Yarrowia lipolytica: one gene and its partners. Each later gene encodes a partner of the first gene's protein in a complex. Links are inferred from orthologs where the notes say so. Each region holds a gene or a part of one and is shown in the gene's direction. Other genes may lie near its edges.

The links.
Region 2: YALI1_D35907g (region 1) and YALI1_E05645g share a complex: the UniProt entries of both Saccharomyces cerevisiae proteins name them as parts of the nuA4 histone acetyltransferase complex. The link is inferred for Yarrowia lipolytica from reciprocal best matches to the Saccharomyces cerevisiae genes EAF1 and ESA1.
Region 3: YALI1_D35907g (region 1) and YALI1_F34928g share a complex: the UniProt entries of both Saccharomyces cerevisiae proteins name them as parts of the nuA4 histone acetyltransferase complex. The link is inferred for Yarrowia lipolytica from reciprocal best matches to the Saccharomyces cerevisiae genes EAF1 and ARP4.
Region 4: YALI1_D35907g (region 1) and YALI1_D12483g share a complex: the UniProt entries of both Saccharomyces cerevisiae proteins name them as parts of the nuA4 histone acetyltransferase complex. The link is inferred for Yarrowia lipolytica from reciprocal best matches to the Saccharomyces cerevisiae genes EAF1 and EAF3.

Annotation. Positions count from the first base shown.
Region 1 is NC_090773.1:3,586,644-3,592,317, reverse strand, and holds YALI1_D35907g (uncharacterized protein), read left to right. Parts: upstream 1-1,716; coding exon 1,717-4,764; downstream 4,765-5,674. Other genes in the region: YALI1_D35911g (uncharacterized protein), read right to left, coding at 1-1,289; YALI1_D35870g (uncharacterized protein), read right to left, coding at 4,804-5,364. UniProt on the Saccharomyces cerevisiae protein: Component of the NuA4 histone acetyltransferase complex which is involved in transcriptional activation of selected genes principally by acetylation of nucleosomal histone H4 and H2A. The NuA4 complex is also involved in DNA repair.
Region 2 is NC_090774.1:562,243-566,516, reverse strand, and holds YALI1_E05645g (uncharacterized protein), read left to right. Parts: upstream 1-1,968; coding exon 1,969-3,378; downstream 3,379-4,274. Other genes in the region: YALI1_E05664g (uncharacterized protein), read left to right, coding at 105-1,430; YALI1_E05630g (uncharacterized protein), read left to right, coding at 3,486-4,274. UniProt on the Saccharomyces cerevisiae protein: Catalytic component of the NuA4 histone acetyltransferase (HAT), a multiprotein complex involved in epigenetic transcriptional activation of selected genes principally by acetylation of nucleosomal histones H4, H3, H2B, H2A and H2A variant H2A.Z.
Region 3 is NC_090775.1:3,490,768-3,495,091, reverse strand, and holds YALI1_F34928g (uncharacterized protein), read left to right. Parts: upstream 1-2,239; coding exon 2,240-3,538; downstream 3,539-4,324. Other genes in the region: YALI1_F34933g (uncharacterized protein), read right to left, coding at 96-1,787; YALI1_F34895g (uncharacterized protein), read right to left, coding at 3,937-4,324. UniProt on the Saccharomyces cerevisiae protein: Chromatin interaction component of the NuA4 histone acetyltransferase complex which is involved in transcriptional activation of selected genes principally by acetylation of nucleosomal histone H4 and H2A. The NuA4 complex is also involved in DNA repair.
Region 4 is NC_090773.1:1,246,475-1,250,676, reverse strand, and holds YALI1_D12483g (uncharacterized protein), read left to right. Parts: upstream 1-2,318; coding exon 2,319-3,482; downstream 3,483-4,202. Other genes in the region: YALI1_D12493g (uncharacterized protein), read right to left, coding at 1-1,342; YALI1_D12447g (uncharacterized protein), read right to left, coding at 3,788-4,202. UniProt on the Saccharomyces cerevisiae protein: Component of the NuA4 histone acetyltransferase complex which is involved in transcriptional activation of selected genes principally by acetylation of nucleosomal histone H4 and H2A. The NuA4 complex is also involved in DNA repair.

The DNA of each region.
Region 1 (5,674 bases):
GGGTTGTGTTTTTGCACAGCCATGCGAGCTGCCGGTCCTTTGGCAGGCGAAATTTTGGCAGGTGTGAAACTAGGTGCGGTAGGAGTGAAACTAGGTGCTGTAGGAGTGAATGCCTTAGGCACAAAAGAAGGGACACCAGCAGTACCAGGCACAAAAGATTCAGTAGGCTTCACCTTGCTGAAATCAAACCTCTTCTTGGGCTTCTCAGCAACAGTTTGTGTGTCATTAGAACTGGCCACAGCTGCCCATTTGCTACCTGGCTTCTCCCTTTTTTTGGACTTTGTGTCACTAGCTGTTCCACTTGCTCCTCCCAGAGTGGGGAAATCTTCCAAGGAGTCAAGCATGGGCTTGGAGAAGTTCTCCAGAGGCTTTGTGGGCTCTGGAGTAGACTCGGTCTCTGGAAAGGAATGCAGGAAGGCACAAGTCTCGCCATTCAAGCACGCGCCACGGACCCAAAATCGACACACACGTGATGTCAGATCATGGGAATATCTGCAATCTGCCCGCAAACACTCTCCAAACTGCACAAAGTACTTACAGAGAACCTTCTCCTCTCTTCCTGGCAACAGAGCCAGTGCCGCATAGACCTCTTTCTCGTCCTCATCGTACTCTTCCTCGTACATGCTGGGGTCCTCGTAGTTGTTGTAGCCGCTGTAATCGTGTACTTCCTGATGATGTTCCATCTCGTAAACCTGAGCGGCCTGCTCCTCTTCCTCCACATGCTCAGAACCTGAACGGTCGTCGTACTTTTGTAGCACCACAATAACCACATTGATGTCGTAGTTGTGCTTCTCCAGTGTGTTCTGGATCAGTTCATCGGAGTAATTGCCTCCAAGCACGGCTCTAAGAAGATCAAAAGGTGCCAGATCGGTCTCTCCATGCCCCACATGACCTTCACTGTCAGGCACATAATCTTCCCAGTAGACCTCCTCCTCGTCCTCAGGCAGCTTATCCCGTAAGGGAACGGCCTTGCCTCGCTTCTTGTAGTCGTCCACAACTTTGGACCAGTCGATTTCTGGAAGCACCTCTGGGATTTTGACCCAGTCGATGCTCTTGGACTTGTCGACACCCACAATCCGCACATCTCCATGACCATTGCGGTGACGTGTGACCGAGCCCTCCTTCTCACGATGTTTCCACATGAGATCCAGCACCATGCTCTCCCGTTCGCTAGAAGACATTTCTCCATGATGTTTCACCACGAGCTCTTCCAAAAGCTCGATCTTGTCCTCCTCCAGGACACTGTCATCATCTAGAATCGCATCTGCCTCCCTTGACAACTCGTCCATAATGTTGCGAGATAACGGCTGTCAAATTATAGGCTTGCTTCTCTTTGCCACAGGCGATATTCCATCCACAAATTCAGTCTATCCAGACCAGCCGTTGTAAATTATTTGAATCTTAAACTGGTGGACGAGATTGATGTGCATTGGGGCTGTCAGACGACGTCCATTAATAAGCAGCAGCTTGAAGAAGGATGGGTGAGCAACTTGTCAGATATGTGATTAATGATCGTCTAAATAAAAAATATGCCTTATTATTGTGAACGTAAGTGCCATGTCTGGCTATAACTTCCAGTTTCAGCAATTTACCATTGCTTTGCTAAAATAGACAATCCTAAAAATCGAACTGAGAACAACGTGTACATTTTTTCGCCCATCACGTGAATTACATCACCATAACTCCCGCGTATTCACTCTCTCAGCGTCAACCAGCATGATGGACCCGCGGCAAGAGACGTGCGGAGACATTGTGTCGACGCGTAAACGTCGGCTTGAAGAGCTATACTACGTCTCCTTGCACCCTCGGTACCCCCAAGGTCTGGATGCCAAACAGAAACTGAAGCAGTTCCAGGACCAGTTCGACCTGACACAAAACCGACTTTTCGACGAAAACAAATTACCAAAGGCGGTCGAAGAGCCCAAGCCAGTGCCGACCCTTCAAACCTCGACACCTGATGCAGGCTCTTCTCCAGAGTTGAAGCGACGACGTACGTCTAGTATTGCGCAACTGTCACCTACATTCTCACGCACATCACTCAAAACAAACGAGCAGCAACTGCAGGAAATGCTGCTGTTTCTGGTGCCCAGCAACATCCCCGAACCCACCACAGAAACTAAGTCGCTCGCTGAGCTATACTACACCACACAGACCCTACCACTGTCCAAGCTTATTCCGTCGGCGCACAAAACACTTACCACAGACTCCTACCATCTGGCGTTGCTGGAGGGCAAGCTTGCAGTAGCACATGCTCGTATAGAGGAGCTGAAGCGGGCAGGGAAATGGGGCCCCAGGCAGCCAAAGCGGTTCCAGGACCCTATCCGACGGAAAACACACTGGGACCATGTGTTAGATGAAATGGAGTGGATGTCTACGGATTTCCGGGAGGAGAGAAAATTCAAGCAGGCGATGGCTTGTGAAATTGCCTTTTCCGTGCTGGAGTACCACAAGTACGGTAAGGAAGCTTGTTGTGTGAAGACGAAGCCTATCAAGTTCCTACCAGAGGAAATTAACGAGTCTGAAGATACAGAGAGCAAGATGGACATTGATACAAGCATGCCACCACCAAGTATCAACCCTGTTGAGGTGACAAACATCTCAGCAGCGGATTCTGTCACTGTTGTTGACTACGATACTCTCCTCTCACAACCCAGGACACTGTCATCGACTGAGGAGTCTGAAGACAAGCCGGAAGAGCCTTCTACAGACAGTGAAGAGGTCGTCGGTGGGGAGGTGCCCAAGCGACCTGCTGCTCCTAAACTTCCTGAGAGCTCTCCGTTCAAGCTGTACGCCTCAGTGGACAAGCTGGACCCTCTATCCAAGGCTCTCTTTGACAACCTCCCTGTCACTACACCTCCTGGTTCTGCCGTTAATGCTCTACAGGTTCCCTACAGCGATCCTCTGGACAACTCAAAACTCGCACCTGTCACGCATCTTCTAGCGGCTCCCCCGGAGCAAGATGATTGGTGGTCGGTATGTCTTGAAGACTCTCCTGCCGATGAGGACACTCTCCCTCTACGATCTAACACTCGTTCTACACTGTTCAATTCGGAGACCATGCGCCGACATGTCGTCATTAAGGCGCCGCAGCCTCCACAGACCAAGTACCTCGACTTCCGAACGCCAACAATGTGGTTATTGGCTGATGATTCACAGCTTCTTCGACTGGTCAAGGAGTATTCCTACAACTGGGACATTGTGTCTGCCCACATGCTGCCCCAAAAAACTTACGGCTTCACAGCTAACATTGAGAGACGTACGTCATGGCAGTGCTTCGAGCGTTGGTTCCAGCTCAATCCGACGTTTTCTCTGACGGATTTGCGTGGTCCCTACGCTCAGGCTGCCCAGCAATGGATGGCCGCTGCTGCCAAAGCCCAGGCTCAGTCCAAGCGTCGCATCTCGCCTCTTGGTGTGTCGAATGAGTCTATCCAGAGAGGTCACCGGAAGCTGCGATGGGCTTCCATGTTTGACGGTATTCGAAAGAGCATGCGAAAACGAGAAACTACCCCCCGACCTAACCCTCAGCCGCCTCGAAAGTCGCAGCTATCCGAGTCCAACAAGAAAGATATTGCTTCGCCTCTGGATCTGTGCAAGATGAAGTTTGAGCAGGATAAGAATCTCGCAAAGGCTTACGCTCAGCAGCGGATGATGCCTGGTCAGATGCCTGGTCAGATGCCCCCGGTACCTTCTAACATTCCTGCTAACCGTCAGTTCCCCGGTCAACGACCTCCTCCTCCTCAGACCGCGGCTCAAATTCAGGCACACACGCAGGCACAGGCTCGAGCTGCTGCTGCCGCCTCTGGACATATGCAGCAGCGTATGGCTGGTGTGGGCATGAACAGAATGCCTGGCCAGATGAACGACCAGCACCAGATGATGCAGTTTGATCGACAGCGGCAGCTCATGGAGCAGCAGAAGATGCTGCAACAACAGCAGCAGCAGCAGTTTATGCGAACCCAGGGGCAGGTGCCTCCTCAGCCAGGCCAGGTGCAGGGACAGGTGAACCAGAACGTCCAGGGCGCTCAGGTGGCTGCCGGTCAGGCTGGTATGGCTCAGAGACCGGCCGGCCAGATACCTCAGGGCCAGATGCCTGCTCAACAGGGACAGGTTCCTCCTGGCCAAGCTGGAAATCAGGCCCAGATGATGCGTCCCAACATGCGAATGCGACCCGGAGGTCCCCAGGCAGCTGCCCCCAACGAGCATCTGAATGCTCTAATTCGCCAGTTGCAGAACCAAAACCCTGCTTTGTCTCTGGAGGCCGCCACCAAGCTGGCGCATGTGCAGGTGCAGCGGTTTGTCCAGAAGCAGCAGCGAGTAGCTCGTCAGGCTCAGGGACAGACTCCTCCTCAGGGACAGATGCGTCCTGGACAGCCCCAGGGACAACCCTCTCCTCAGATGCGTTCGGGTTCTTCGACTCCCATGAACATGCAATCGCCACAACTGATGAACGTACAGCTCCAACAGCAACAGCAGCAACGGTCTGCTTCACCAGGTCAGAGCCCCGCCCAGCAGCACGCCATGCTTATGCGAATGAACCAGCAGCAGCAGCAGCAGCAGCAGCAGCACAGCAGAACCAGGGACAGACCCAGGGACAAAACCAAGGACAAGGTCCATCCGAGTAAGATGGCCGTCCGATTATTTATGTATACAGATAATATTATTGAACTCTACAGTACTTGTAGCTACTGTACTTTTACAACACTTCGTCATGTAAAAGTAGCTTTCTCTCTGCTACTATCTCGTAACCATATCCTCATTCCGTAACTCCATTGTCTATAATATATGTTCAAACCCGCGCACTGGTTACTTCTTCTCTCCGCCAATCAGCCCATTGACTCCACTCTTGAGAGAGTCCCAAGCACTGTTGACGGCCTTGCCGAAATGTTCGCTTGACTCGTCGACGGCAGATGTGAATCGCTTGTTGGCAGAATCAAGATCAGATTGGGCATGGGAGGCACCCTCCTTGAAGTTGTCCCAGGTGCCGTGGGGCTGTCCCTTGCTGTCAAAGGTGTCTCGGATCTTCTCGTTCTCGTGCTCGGTGTTCTTCTCAACCTTGTTGAACTCGTTCTTGACGTCCTTGTTGAAGTCTTCGGCCTTGTCGTGGACTCCGTGGGTCCACTTTTCGTTAGCATCCTTGAGCTTCTCGCCCTCTTGGTGGGCTTTCTTGTCAAAATCGCCGGAGAAGGTGTCGTGAATCTTCTCGTTCTCCTTGCCGAGATTCTTCTGGGCGTCCGAGGCGCCTTCCTTGAGCTCATCCCAGCCCTTCTTGACGTCATCTCCGAGGCTCTCAGAGCCCTTCTTGAAGTCATCGCCAGCCTTGGAGGCGTCCTTCTTGATGGTGTTATCGACGTGGTCAGCAGACATTGTGTGTGTGTTTGTGTTGGTGTATGTGTGTGTGTGGAGTGAAGTTACGAAGATGGGCACGCTATATATACCTATGCTGCCTCATCCCTATCTCCGGTCTCCATGCTCCGAATGATTTACAGATCACTTGATGATTCTGAAACAACGTGATATTAAGCTATCAATGCATTTTCATGCTTACAGGCCTTGTCTATGATTGCTATCTGTATGCGGTATGCAGAGGAGGCATTTTCAGTGTAAGACACGTTGTTATCCTTCTGCGCGATAAATCCTAGCTCGAGCGCTGAATTGGGATTGTCTGGAGACGTCT
Region 2 (4,274 bases), on another chromosome or scaffold:
TCCCCTGCTCACACCACTCATAACCTGTACAAGGCTATCTGAATAACTTGCATGAACATTTCAGCCGTCATAATCAGAGACTACAAGGAACTTGTAATCCACACATGCCTGTCGCCAAAGACCTGTTTCCAGAGTATGGTACTCTCGCGACCGGCGAAAATGAACCCTCTCGAAATATCCGACGTGCTCAAAAACTCAGGGAGTTCCAGAACCTCGAACTTCCACCATACCTAGCAAAGCAGGTGGCTGCCAAAATGGCAGAGAAGGGTTTGGCAGTGGAAGCCACAGGAGGTGTGGCAGTCCAGCGAATCGCAGGAGGATCTCAGAGCGGCCAGAAGGCTCTGATGGGAGCTTCTTCCTCGGCACTCACGAAACACACGCCCTCTGCAAGCCAACCAACTACACACGACAGTCTCACTAATCTCGGAGCCAACCTTACACAGTCGAAACCGGCGTGGCACGCACCATGGGAGATCTACAGAGTCATTACAGGCCATCAGGGCTGGGTGAGATCTGTTTGTGTTGAACCAGAGAACCAGTGGTTTGCTACAGGTTCTGCAGACAAGACTATCAAGATCTGGGATCTGGCTACAGGAAAATTGCGACTGACTCTCACAGGACACATTATGGGTGTTAGAGCATTGGGAGTGTCGCCACGACATCCTTACATGTTTTCGGGAGGTGAAGACAAGATGGTCAAGTGTTGGGATCTGGAAACTAACAAGGTCGTTCGACACTACCATGGCCATCTCTCTGCAGTCTACTCGCTGGACATTCATCCTACTCTGGATGTCCTAGTGTCTGCTGGTCGAGACGCTGTGGCCCGTGTGTGGGACATTCGTACTCGTGACCCTGTGGTTGTTCTCAGTGGACACAAGTCGACTATCAACAGAGTCAAGTTCCAGGCCTCTGAACCCCAGGTGATTACAGCTTCGGCAGATGAGACTGTGCGACTGTGGAACCTACAGGCCGGGAAGACCATGACAACGCTCACGCATCACAAGAAGAGTGTGCGAGGCCTCACTTTACATCCCGAGGAGTTCACTTTCTCCACGGCCTCTGCTAACTCCAGTAAGCAATGGAAGTGTCCCGAGGGCGATCTAGTGCTCAACTACGACGACCAGAACGCTATCATCAATACCCTGTCCGTTAACCAAGACAACGTCATGTTTTCGGGAGGCGACAACGGCTCTATTGGCTTTTATGACTGGAAGACTGGACATATGTTCCAGAGCACCCAGTCTATTCCCATCCCAGGATCTATCGAGAGTGAAAACGGTATTTTCGACTCCAGTTTCGACAAGACTGGTCTTCGCCTCATCACCTGTGAGGCTGACAAGAGCATCAAAATGTGGCGCGAGAAGCCCAATGCCACAGCAGAAAGTGATCCCGGTCTCGAATGGAAACCCAAGATATACCAGACCTATTAGAGGGATGGTGTATCAGAATTTCGCATATTTAATGTATTTTTAGTTACAAGTACAATTGTATTGGTTGGCGTTGTCATTCTTTTGTTTTGCTTTCCCTCCTTTTCAGCCTTCGCTCTACTTGTAGGCCAGTGGTACCAATACAGGCACAGTATATGGACCCAATTCCAGAACCATACTTATACAATTTTCATTTTTTTCCGGAAACATAAAAATGGATGGTCTCCAAATAAAAATGAAATAACAACTACATGTACATTGTACTTGTACAGTTGGATATATGTGTGTTTCACCAATATAATCGCAGATTTAATAACTGAATAATATCATATAACAAGACGATATTTCGTAAATTCCCCCCTACAGTAACTGGCACATTCCTGTCTCTATTAAGGTGGCTGTACTCATCTCCCAACATCACGTGACCATAACTATTTTCAGTTTATCAAAATTTTGTCGCCACCCGAACATCAACGAGCAATAGCGCGACGAAGCTATATAACACCCAGGCAGTTTACTGTCGCTCACAACACCTCCAAAGATGGCTCTCGCAGAAGCAGACTTGCCCAACGGCAAAACCAACGGCAAAGCCTCGGGGTCCGAGGAGACTCCTGCGCCCGTTCAGAAGGTCGACATGAACGTGGCAATCAACGAGCTCCGTGTGGGCTGCAAAGTCCACGTCGAGAAAGACGGTGAGGACCGAGTTGCTGAAATTCTCAGCGTGCAAATGAGACGTGGTAACCTCGAGTTCTATGTGCACTACGTCGAGTTCAACAAGCGTCTGGATGAGCGTATTGCGGCTACTCGAGTCGACTTGTCACAGGGTGTCATTTGGCCCGAGCCAGAGAAGCCCAAGAAGCCTCTCAGTGGTGCTGCAAAGGAGAGCAGCAAGGAGAAGAAGAAGAACCCCTCCAAGAAGCAGAAGCTCACAGATTCGGCTGCAACTACTCCTGGAGCCAATTCGGAAGATGTCATGGACCTGGACAACCTCCAGGTTAACGGCACCACCCAGGACCCCGACAATTTCAACCGTGACGAGGAGATTGAGAAGCTCAGAACTGGAGGAAGTATGACACAGAGCAGTCATGAGGTGGCTCGAGTTCGAAATTTACAGAGAATTGTTCTAGGCAATCATGTCATCGAACCGTGGTACTTTTCTCCCTATCCTATCGAGCTGACCGAAGAAGATGAAATCTACATTTGCGACTTTACCCTGTGTTATTTCGGGTCCAAGAAGCAGTTTGAGCGGTTCAGATCCAAATCCACTCTGAGACATCCTCCTGGGAACGAAATCTATCGAGATGAGGCAGTCAGTTTCTTCGAGATTGACGGCAGAAAGCAGAGAACATGGTGCCGAAACCTGTGTCTCCTTTCAAAGCTTTTCCTGGATCATAAGACTCTCTACTACGATGTGGACCCCTTCCTTTTCTACTGCATGACTCGACGAGATGAGAAGGGTCACCATCTGGTAGGATACTTTTCCAAGGAGAAGGAGTCTGCTGAGGGATACAATGTCGCTTGTATTCTCACACTGCCGCAATACCAGCGTCACGGTTATGGCCGCCTTCTTATTGACTTCTCATATGCCCTTTCCAAGGCTGAGGGCAAGACTGGTTCCCCAGAAAAGCCTCTTTCAGATCTGGGTCTGCTGTCATACCGAGCCTATTGGGCAGACACCATTATTGAGTTGCTCATGGAGAAGGGTAAGCAGGAGATGACAATCGAAGACATTGCCTCCGTGACCGCCATGACCACTACAGATGTGCTGCATACCCTGCAGACATACAACATGCTCAAGTACTACAAGGGCCAACACATCATTTGTTTGACAGACAGTGTGTGCGAAAAGTATGAAAAGATGCTCAAAAAGCGGCGCCGAAAGGTCAACTCGGAGCTCCTCAAGTGGAAGCCCCCCGTATTCACAGCTGCACAGCTGCGGTTTGCTTGGTAAAAAATCCGTCCTTATCAGCTGCAGTCAGGTATGGCGCAGAACAAAGAAGTGTGCCTCAACCGCACTTGTTCATATTTATTATCAGCTTGTCACCCGTTACAGGGCCAATGTCTTGCAATCATCTCAATATTTATATAATTGGAATCACAATGTATGTATTTTACTCATCCGGACACCCATACGCGATGGCAATCCACCACAGCTTCAAGATTTCCAAGAAAAAGGCCCTGCCACCGGCCAAGAGCAAGGCCACGCTACGACCCAAGTCCACCGAACCTGTTCCTGTTGCTGCCAATCCTCTCATCACCGCCTTTGAGGTCGACTTCAGCAATGACGGTCCTGTTGCTGACTTCCAATGGGACATTGAAACCATTGAGAAATCTCGGGTAGTCTTTCCTTTGGCTCCCGAGGCTTGGGAGACTACCTTTGCTGCTGTCCACGAGTCCGACACTACACAGACCACGCAACCCCCCTCGGAAGATGATACCACTCTGGAGATTACCGAGGAGAAAGTCGCGACCAAGATTGTCCCTCAGAAGTTCATTCCCGGATGGATGATGGTCGGTGATACCGGTGATTCCACAGATGTTGATCAGTCAGTCGACCCACCTCAATGTTTCGATTGGGTTGACTTGTTTTTCGAACCCAAGAGTGCAACAGAGTACGACCCACGGAACTTTTCCAGCCACTTCCAGGAGACTCTCAAGGTGTCGCAGGAGCTTTATACCCCCGGGTCTGTGGTGAATCCCATCACTGAGGGCTACGTCATATCTGGCAAGTCCACCCATGCCTTCTTCAATCCCATAACCGGCGCCATGACTCCTTGGATCCACCAGCCAGCACCTCGTGCGTCGAAGGACAAATCGACTAACACAACTCTGCGCACCATTCCAAAC
Region 3 (4,324 bases), on another chromosome or scaffold:
TGCACAAGCTCTCCAAATGTTCATGTCTGCCCACCCGCTTAATATATACACTCTTTCCGTCATAATCAAAATCTATTGTATATTTTCCCTTCCGTCTACTTCTTGCTAGAAAGAGCTCCGTACAGCTTGCCCTCCTCGGCAATGACGTCGGCGAGGAACTCAATCTCGGTTCGTCGTCGACCCTCGTCCAGCCAGTCAGAGGCCAGCTTTCGGGGCCATCCCTTGAGAGTGTTGACCTCAGCCACGGCGTCGTATAGCTTGCCCTGCTCCAGAGCAATGTTGGCTCGAGCAAGCACACTCTCGACGTCGTCTCCCTTGGGCACTCCGCTCTTCTTGAACAGCAGAGAGGAGAAAATGAGGGAGCCCAGATGACCGGCGACACCGGCGTTAACAGGAACCAGAGAGGACTTTCGTAGCTCAGGCTCGAGCAGCTTGAATCGAATGGTAAGCTGGGCAGGGGTAAGAACTCCCTCGGTCTGAGCGACCTCGGGAATAGAGTCCAGAGCGGCCTGCAGCAGAGGATCGTCACCAGCAGCCCGTCGGATGGACTCGACGTAAGGGCCGAGGGCCACGGGCTCGGAACCCTTGAGAGCACCGGTGAGCTTAGCGATGGCAAGATGCAGAGCTGCGGTTCGGCCGGAGGCGTCAACGGCCTGCTCGGTCTTGAGAGCCAGGTCCTGCAGCTGGGTGAGGGAAGTCTGGAGGTCCTTGAGCTTGGAGAGACGGCCCTCTCGCTCGGTTTCGACTCGCTCGGCAATCTCCTGGGCGTACTGCTTTTGTCGCTCGGCCTCGACGGCCTGAATCAGGTTGTTGGCGTGAGAAGAAACAAGGGACTTGGTGGCCTCAATCTCGACTCGGAGACGGTCGTGGTAGACCTTCTCAGAGTGGGCTCGCAGAGCGGCAAACTCGTTTCGCAGCTGCTGCTCGGCGGCAGACACCTTAGACGAGATTTCCTCGCCGGTGGAAGCCTTGAGCTTGGCCAGCTCGCTGTTGAGCTTGTTGATGGAGTTCTTAGCTTCCTCGGCGGCCTCAGACTTGATCTGGGCCACGTTGTGCTGCAGCTGGTCGACCACGGTGGAGACCTTGGCGGAGAGCTGCTTGGCGGCACCAGAGGGGGCCACGGCGATCAGATCATTGAAGGTCTGGACGGCGGCCTTGACGGCGGGGTCAGAGTCGTTAGCCAGTCGCACAGCGGGCACGGTGGTGTTGTCAGTCTTGGGGGAACCACTAGAGACAGGGGAGGCGGTGGCAGCAGGAGCGGGGGAAGCGACGTCCTTGGCCACGTTGGCAGCGGGAGAAGATGCAGACTTGGCAGAAGTAGCAGCATCGGTGGAGTCGACCGCTCGCCAGGTAGCACCGGACTTGGGCACTCGGACGGTGGACTGGTCAACGTCATGCTTGGAGGTGGGAGTCGCGATCTTGAGTCGGCCGGATCGCAGCTGCTGCTCCTCAATGTAGTTGATGGCGTGCTCGGCCGCGGGCACGTACTCGACAAACAGGCTCTGGAACTGGTCGTTCTGAAGGGAGTAATAAACACCTCCGGCAAAGGCGCCGGCGCCGACAAAGGTGGAGAGCAGCACAAAGTTTCGGAACTTGTGAGTCTTCTTCTTCTGCTTGGAGGCTCCCTCAAAGGTGGCTCCGGGAGGCTTGCCCGAGGCAGCAGAGGCGCCATTGGCTGTTCCAACAGTGGAGCCGGTAGCGGGCTTGGCGGCCTGCTGGAGCCGAGAGGCGGTGCTCAGCATGCGACGCTGCACAATTGACCGGTGCATGGCTGTAGCTCTGATCATTGTGTGTTTGGTCGAGGTTTTTTTCTGTTCAGTACAGACCTTGTGTGGTGAGGAACAGCAATAGCAAGGGTGGCTTTTGATTGGGTGCAGGTGCCCTTACCCTGTTGGGAGGTTTGTCTAGGTGCCTGGGATGGAGGACAATGTTTTGTCACTGTCAAGACGGGATATTGTGGGGATTTGAGAAATATATTTGATCAGCCGGTCTCGAAGATTATATTCGCGCTTTCGCCTTTGAAATTGCTCCTTTTGTTGCCGTTTCGAACTGTAGTCTCGTGCTACTGAGTCTCATGTTAATTTTTGTTTCGGCCTCGACTTAATTAACTCTAACCAATGTTATTTTCGTGCATTAACGAAACTCGAACGCACGATCAGTCACACTCTCCACCATCAAATATCACGTACAGACTGGTACCCCATACATACTACCATCTGAAGACGACACACCACCCATCATGACTACAACAGCTCCAGCCCCCCAGGTGTATGGAGGCGATGAGGTGGCGACCCTGGTGATCGACACCGGGTCGTCGTACACTCGAGTCGGATACGCCGGAGAAGATACCCCCAAACTGGTGGTTTCCACAGAGTGTGGACTGATGGCAGACGAGGATGTCGAGATGGAGGACGATACAAGCAACACAACCAAAAAATTAAACAAGTACAAGGTTGGCGACTCCGCCAATCTGCCACTGCCCAACATGGAGGTGCTTCATCCTCTTACCGACGGGATTGTGGCTGATTGGGACGCGGTGCAGAATATTTGGGAATACTCGCTGGCTCGACTCAATGCCGACACAAAGACACACCCATTGATGCTGACGGAGCCGTGCTGGAACACGCAGGCCAACAAGCTCAAGGCGCTTGAAATCGCGTTCGAGAGCCTCGAGGTCCCGGCATCGTACTTGGTCAAGGACGCTGTGGCTTCTGCGTTTGCTGCAGGAAAGGGAAACGCACTGGTACTGGATGTAGGATCTGAAGTGGCTTCTGTGACACCTGTCATTGATGGATTGGTGCTTTACAAGCCCGCGCGACGGTCACAGTACGCTGGAGACTATTTGGATAGACAGATTAAAAAGGTGCTTGTTTCACGAGGAATCGATCTCACTCCTCGGTTCGAGATTAAGAACAAGAAGGCTGTGGAGATGGGTGAGCCACCTGTGTTCACCAAGCGGGAGCTTCCCAACGTCACTCATTCCTTCACTGATCTGCAGGTGTCTCGTATTCTCTCTGAGTTCAAGGACTCCATGTGTCAGGTGAACGATGTTCCCCTGACTCCAGAAATCTCTGGTGAAGCCGCCGACCGGGTCTTCGAGTTCCCCACGGGCTACAGCACAACTTTCGGAGCAGACCGTCTGTCTACTTCTGAGAGCTTATTCAAGCCCAGTGAGTACCCTTTTGACGGAGAGACTGTGCCAGATACTGCGCGGGGACTCAGTGAGATGGTGGTGGACACAATCAACGCTTCCAACGTGGATGTGAGGGCTCACCTGGCTAACAACATTGTTATCACTGGTGGAGGGTCGCTGGTTCAGGGTCTCAGTGATAGAGTCAGTAAGGACGTGACCCAGGCCCTGAGTGGTCTTAAGGTCCGAGTTGCTGCTGCTTCCAACCAGGAGGAGCGACGACACGGTGCTTGGATTGGCGGTTCTGTTTTGGGCAGCCTGGGATCGTTCCATCAGCTGTGGGTCAGCAAACAGGAGTGGCAGGAGAAGGGAGGAGACTATTTGGTCGAAAAGAAGCGGTTCAAGTAAAGGACTAGAACTAAGATTGTATAGATGGAATGTATTATTTAATGGCAATAAGTTCTTGTCACAGTCGGTATTCTATAGGTACATCCTGTACATACTGTACTTACACTTGTACACTATGTACATACTGTACATGCGTACAATACCTTGTAGTACGCAGCAGTGGCTACTTTTACTTTCTTCATGATTAATCATACAGTATGTACTGTAATATCTACAACTAGAGATACATGTTTACTGCTTGTACGATGGTATCGTACAACCGCCCCGTTCTTCCTCAGCTCGCTATAAGTAAATTGTTCACATTACGAAAACTGAACGGTCCATTCATCCTCGTTCAGTGCAGATAATAATAAATATGCTATTCCTATTTGCAGTTATCTCAATGCTTAATCCCATGATCAGTTCAAAAACTTCCAGTTGCGCTCCTCCATACCCTTCATGACATGCTCGACAAGCTTCTGACGTCGGGACTTGAGGTACGAGCACTTGTCCAGAAAGTTGACCTTGGCTCCCGGAATCCTGTCCCACTTGTACTCAAACAGCTCTGACAGCCCCTCGGTGTGCAGCTCAAGATCCTCCTGGTTCTTGAGGAAGATTTCCCGCTCCGGCTGGGCGTCCAAGAAAAATGCAAACGCATAGGTCCACAGCAACGTCTGCCGAGACTGTCTGAGAATCTCGAACGACGATGGCAGGAACCGCGACTCCAGCCATGTCATTTTGCCTTCCTTCTGCAGCGTCTCCATTGTCTTAGTAATGTTCTTGTACGTCTTTTCGTCCAGCTTGGCA
Region 4 (4,202 bases), about 2.3 Mb from region 1:
CGCCCATTCCAACCAGACCCGCAAACGAGGTCCAATTGACAATGTTACCAATGATTCGGTCTTGTCGAGCGCTTCGACTCAGAGCCTTGGAGTAAGGAATGTCGGCTCGGAACGACACCATGGAGTAAAGAGGGACCCAAGCGGACGAAAAGACACGTCCAAGAACTCCGTCCACCTTCTTTCGAATCAGGTAGGGCAGACTGACCACTGAGTGGCTCATTTCCACATAATTTCGCATGGCGAGATCGACAATAGCAACAAGATCCTTGTGTCGTCGCTCGGTGTAGGTGTTAAAGGCCTCCTCGACGTTCCATTTCTTTTCATCCAAAATCTCCATGAGCACCCGGATGTCTTCAAATCCGGCGTTCATTCCCTGGCCGTAGAACGGAACCATGCAGTGGGCTGCGTCGCCTACGAGCAGACACTCGCCCTTGTGATTATAAGGAGAGCACTTAAGGGACACCAGGGGGGACCGGGGGTTGTTTTCGTACGACTCCAGAATCTGAGACTCGCCCATCAGCTCGTATGCGTCTGGGAACTGCTCCTTGAAGAAGGAAATGAAGGTGTTTTGGGATTCACACACCTGTTCCATGAGCGCCGGGGGAGCAAACAGCGTAGATGTGAACGAGCCATCACCGTTGGCCAGTGCAATGAGCATGTATTTGTGTCGGGGCCAAATGTGCAGGTGGTTGGGCGAGATGGAAAACGGATCGGGTCCGTCGGCCTTGGGGATCTTGAGTTCCAGGTAGACACAGTCAATGTACTGCTGGGCGTAGTTCATTCGGACGTATCGCTGGAGTCGATCTCTGGTCTTGCTGAAGGCTCCATCTGCTCCAATAATGTAGTCACTTTCCACGACCCTCTCTTCGCCCTCCTTGGTCTCAAAAGTCGATGTCGGTCGCTGGTACTTTTTGTCCTTTCGGCTGAGCGAAATGTTGGTTAGTTTGTGCTCGGGGAAGAAGGTGATGTTGGCGTTATCTTCAATCACGTCCAGCATGGTTCGGTTGAGCTGGGCTCGGTCAATCGAGTTGATACACTCGCCCCATAGGCCGTAAGCCTGAGCATGTTGTCCTCCCTGGAGATCGTGGATCATACGACCGTACATGGGGATAATGTCGGCCAGCACTCGCTCGGCCATCTTGGTGTCGACAGATCTGAGTGCCTCGATGCCTCGAGCAGACACAGCCAGGTTAATGGATCGCAACGAGGCGTTTTTGAGCTCCGCCTCGGACCGGAGATCAGGACGAGCATCGTAAAGCGCCACCTTGTGGCCGCGATCTGCGAATGCCAGAGCCGCCAGACAGCCCACAAGACCCGCTCCTACCACTGTGACTTCGTGCATGCTGAAAAAAGATATTTTAGGCGCCTTTTCAGGTTAGATGGTCGGGGTGTATCGCCTTACCAACGGTTGGGAGTACTACTACAGTAACCAAGTGGGGTCATGCGTGCGGCGTAGTCTTTCATATTGGTGGCACGACACTCGTAGTCACGATTGGAAAAAAGTATCGTAGGCGATGGGTGGATTTATATAGTTGCTAATGATGTTAAAAATATGTCTCTATGCAATTGGTCCCTTAAACCCGCCCCGCAAGTTTTCGCTGGTTGTGATGCTCAGTTGACAATCTACCAACCGTCTTTTTTTAGGATTTTTAGAAAAGGTTGTTTTTTACTTGGGATTAGTTGAAGAAAAAAGTCGGCTGGGGGTTCAAATTCGAGGTTCCAGTTATACGAGAGTTACAAGAGTCAAATAAAAACATGTAACCAAAGAGTCTCTTTCAAATGACATAAAAAAAACCTTGTAGCCATATAGAAATATTGCAAGATATCTTGGTTTATGTAAATTATTTAGGTTATCATTTACTTGGGTTTAGTTAAGCGTTTGAATGACTTTTGAGCAGTGTAGGGAACCACTCAGAGCCCTCAAAAAGAGGATAGAAGATCTCAGGGGGCTGTTTAAGCTACTATAACCAGCTCAACCGACAATCTCAATACACAACAAAAGCTCCAGGTAGCCATTGCGCCAATACACAGCAACACAGTAGCGCATGTTTTTCACTCTTCCACAACCCTGACACACAGATTAGGAGTATCGAAACGGCGTATACAAACTAATATTTGCTGAAAACACACTCATCCACCGGGTAAAAAAAACGTTCTCGTTTCTTTTCTCACGCCATACACTCTCAACCTCACCTTCTTCCTCCTCTCGTTGTATTTTTCACGCGTACTTGCGCTACTAACTCGCCAACTCTATATCACCACTTTAGGACGCTCCTCCTACTTCACCACCAACCCACATACACACAATCTCCGCAATCATGGTTCTAGCCACCAATTCGCGGTGCCTGGCGTACCATGGTCCGCTGCTCTACGAAGCAAAGATCCTCATGTCTTACGACCCCTCCAAACGCGGCTCTAAGGCCAAGGTGGAGGACGGGCTTCCGCCCACGGTTGAGATCGGAAACGTGGTCAACACTCACAAGCGCAAGCGGGGTCCTCGCGCCTCTCTTCCTGCTGCGGGCGCAACGCCCGATGGAGACGACTCCAACGACAAAAACCGACACTTTAGTCCAAAGGAAGGGAAACCTGACGTGCCCGCAGATCTGGCCGACGAAAACGAGGACAAAATCTGCTACTACGTGCACTACAAGGGCTGGAAAAACACGTGGGACGAGTGGGTCGGCGAGGAGCGGGTACTGGCTCTCAACGAGGACAACATCAAGCTACAGAAGGAGCTCAAGGCTGCGGCTCTAGCAGCGGCCAAGAAGGGCAAGGATTTTGACGCCCTGGCTCCTCCCGAGGCGCTCAGTGAAACGGCCTCTCCGGCACCAACCACAAAGCGCAAATCCATGGCATCAAAGGACTCTCCTGCTGAGGGACCCCGTCCCGTGAAACGACGAGGGGGACTCGCTGCCCTGGAGGACCTCGAGAAGGAAGACGACTATCTAAAACGCAAGGAAATTGCGCTTGTTGTGCCCGACAAGCTCAAGGCCCAGCTGGTAGACGACTGGGAGTTTGTCACCAAGGACCACCAGCTTGTCGGCTTGCCCCGGAAGGTGACGGTGGTGGACATTCTCAAGGAATTCAAAAAGGAGGCGGAGGCCAAATATAGACCTGGCTCTGCCGACGCCGATATTCTCAACGAGGTGGTGTCGGGAATCAAGCTCTACTTTGATCGCTCGCTGGGCTCAATCTTGCTCTACAGATTCGAGCGAGAGCAGTACCTACAAATCACCCAGAGCCCAGACCACTCCAACAAGACCATGAGCGAAGTCTACGGCGCGGAGCATCTGCTGCGGCTGTTTGTGTCGCTCCCGGGGCTCATTGCTATGACCAACATGGATGCCCAAAGCGTGGCGGTGCTCAAGGAGCACTTGGAGGACTTTGTGCGGTTTCTGTCGACCCACCAGAAAACGTACTTTTTGAAGGAGGCTTACACAAATGCTTCGCCCGCATACGAGGCTCTGTCCAAGGGTCTTTAGGGTTAGAAACGAAGAGCGAGGCAAAGAGTCGCGCAGCGATTCCCTCCGAGCTGGCCTACCGACAACATCATCTGTCATAGGCCGTTGGTCGGTGGTGATTAATCACGTTTGACCATATAGCTAGCTAACTACTCAATACATGTATAACAGTGGGTGTAACGGTGTAAAGTGCTACAATGACACAAGTTTGCGAAAGGAATCGTTTTGTTTATTCAATAAATACAGAAAAGCGCTTAGAAAAAGACTATATATATAAAAAGAGAGGTGCAGGCGTGAATGTCAAAAAAGTTGAAATCTAGTTTGGTTTAAGCCGTCAAACCAAAGTCGAAATCAAGATCGAGCTCGGGAAGCATGTTTCTAGACTCCCGGGAAGGTCGTCGGACATGCGAGCCTTCAGGCCGGGGTCCAGAGGGTACCCGCTTCTTGATTTGCAAGGGGGGGATGAAAGAAGAGCTCACACTAGTCTCATAAGTGGCAGGACGGGCCTCAGGAATGCAAGCTTTGACTGGAGAGTCGTAAGACGACTGGAAGGTGGCTGCTGATGCCATGGAAGGGGAGGTCATAGGCGAAGTGTCCGAAGCAGAAGACATATCTGCCTCTGTGAAGTCGGAAGACATGTCTGTAGAAGCAAAGCTCTGGACCGACATTCGAGCTGTGAGAGTTCGGGGTGTCTCGGGCTCGGTGTTGTAAGGAGTAGCAGAAGGCATTGAATGGATGCCC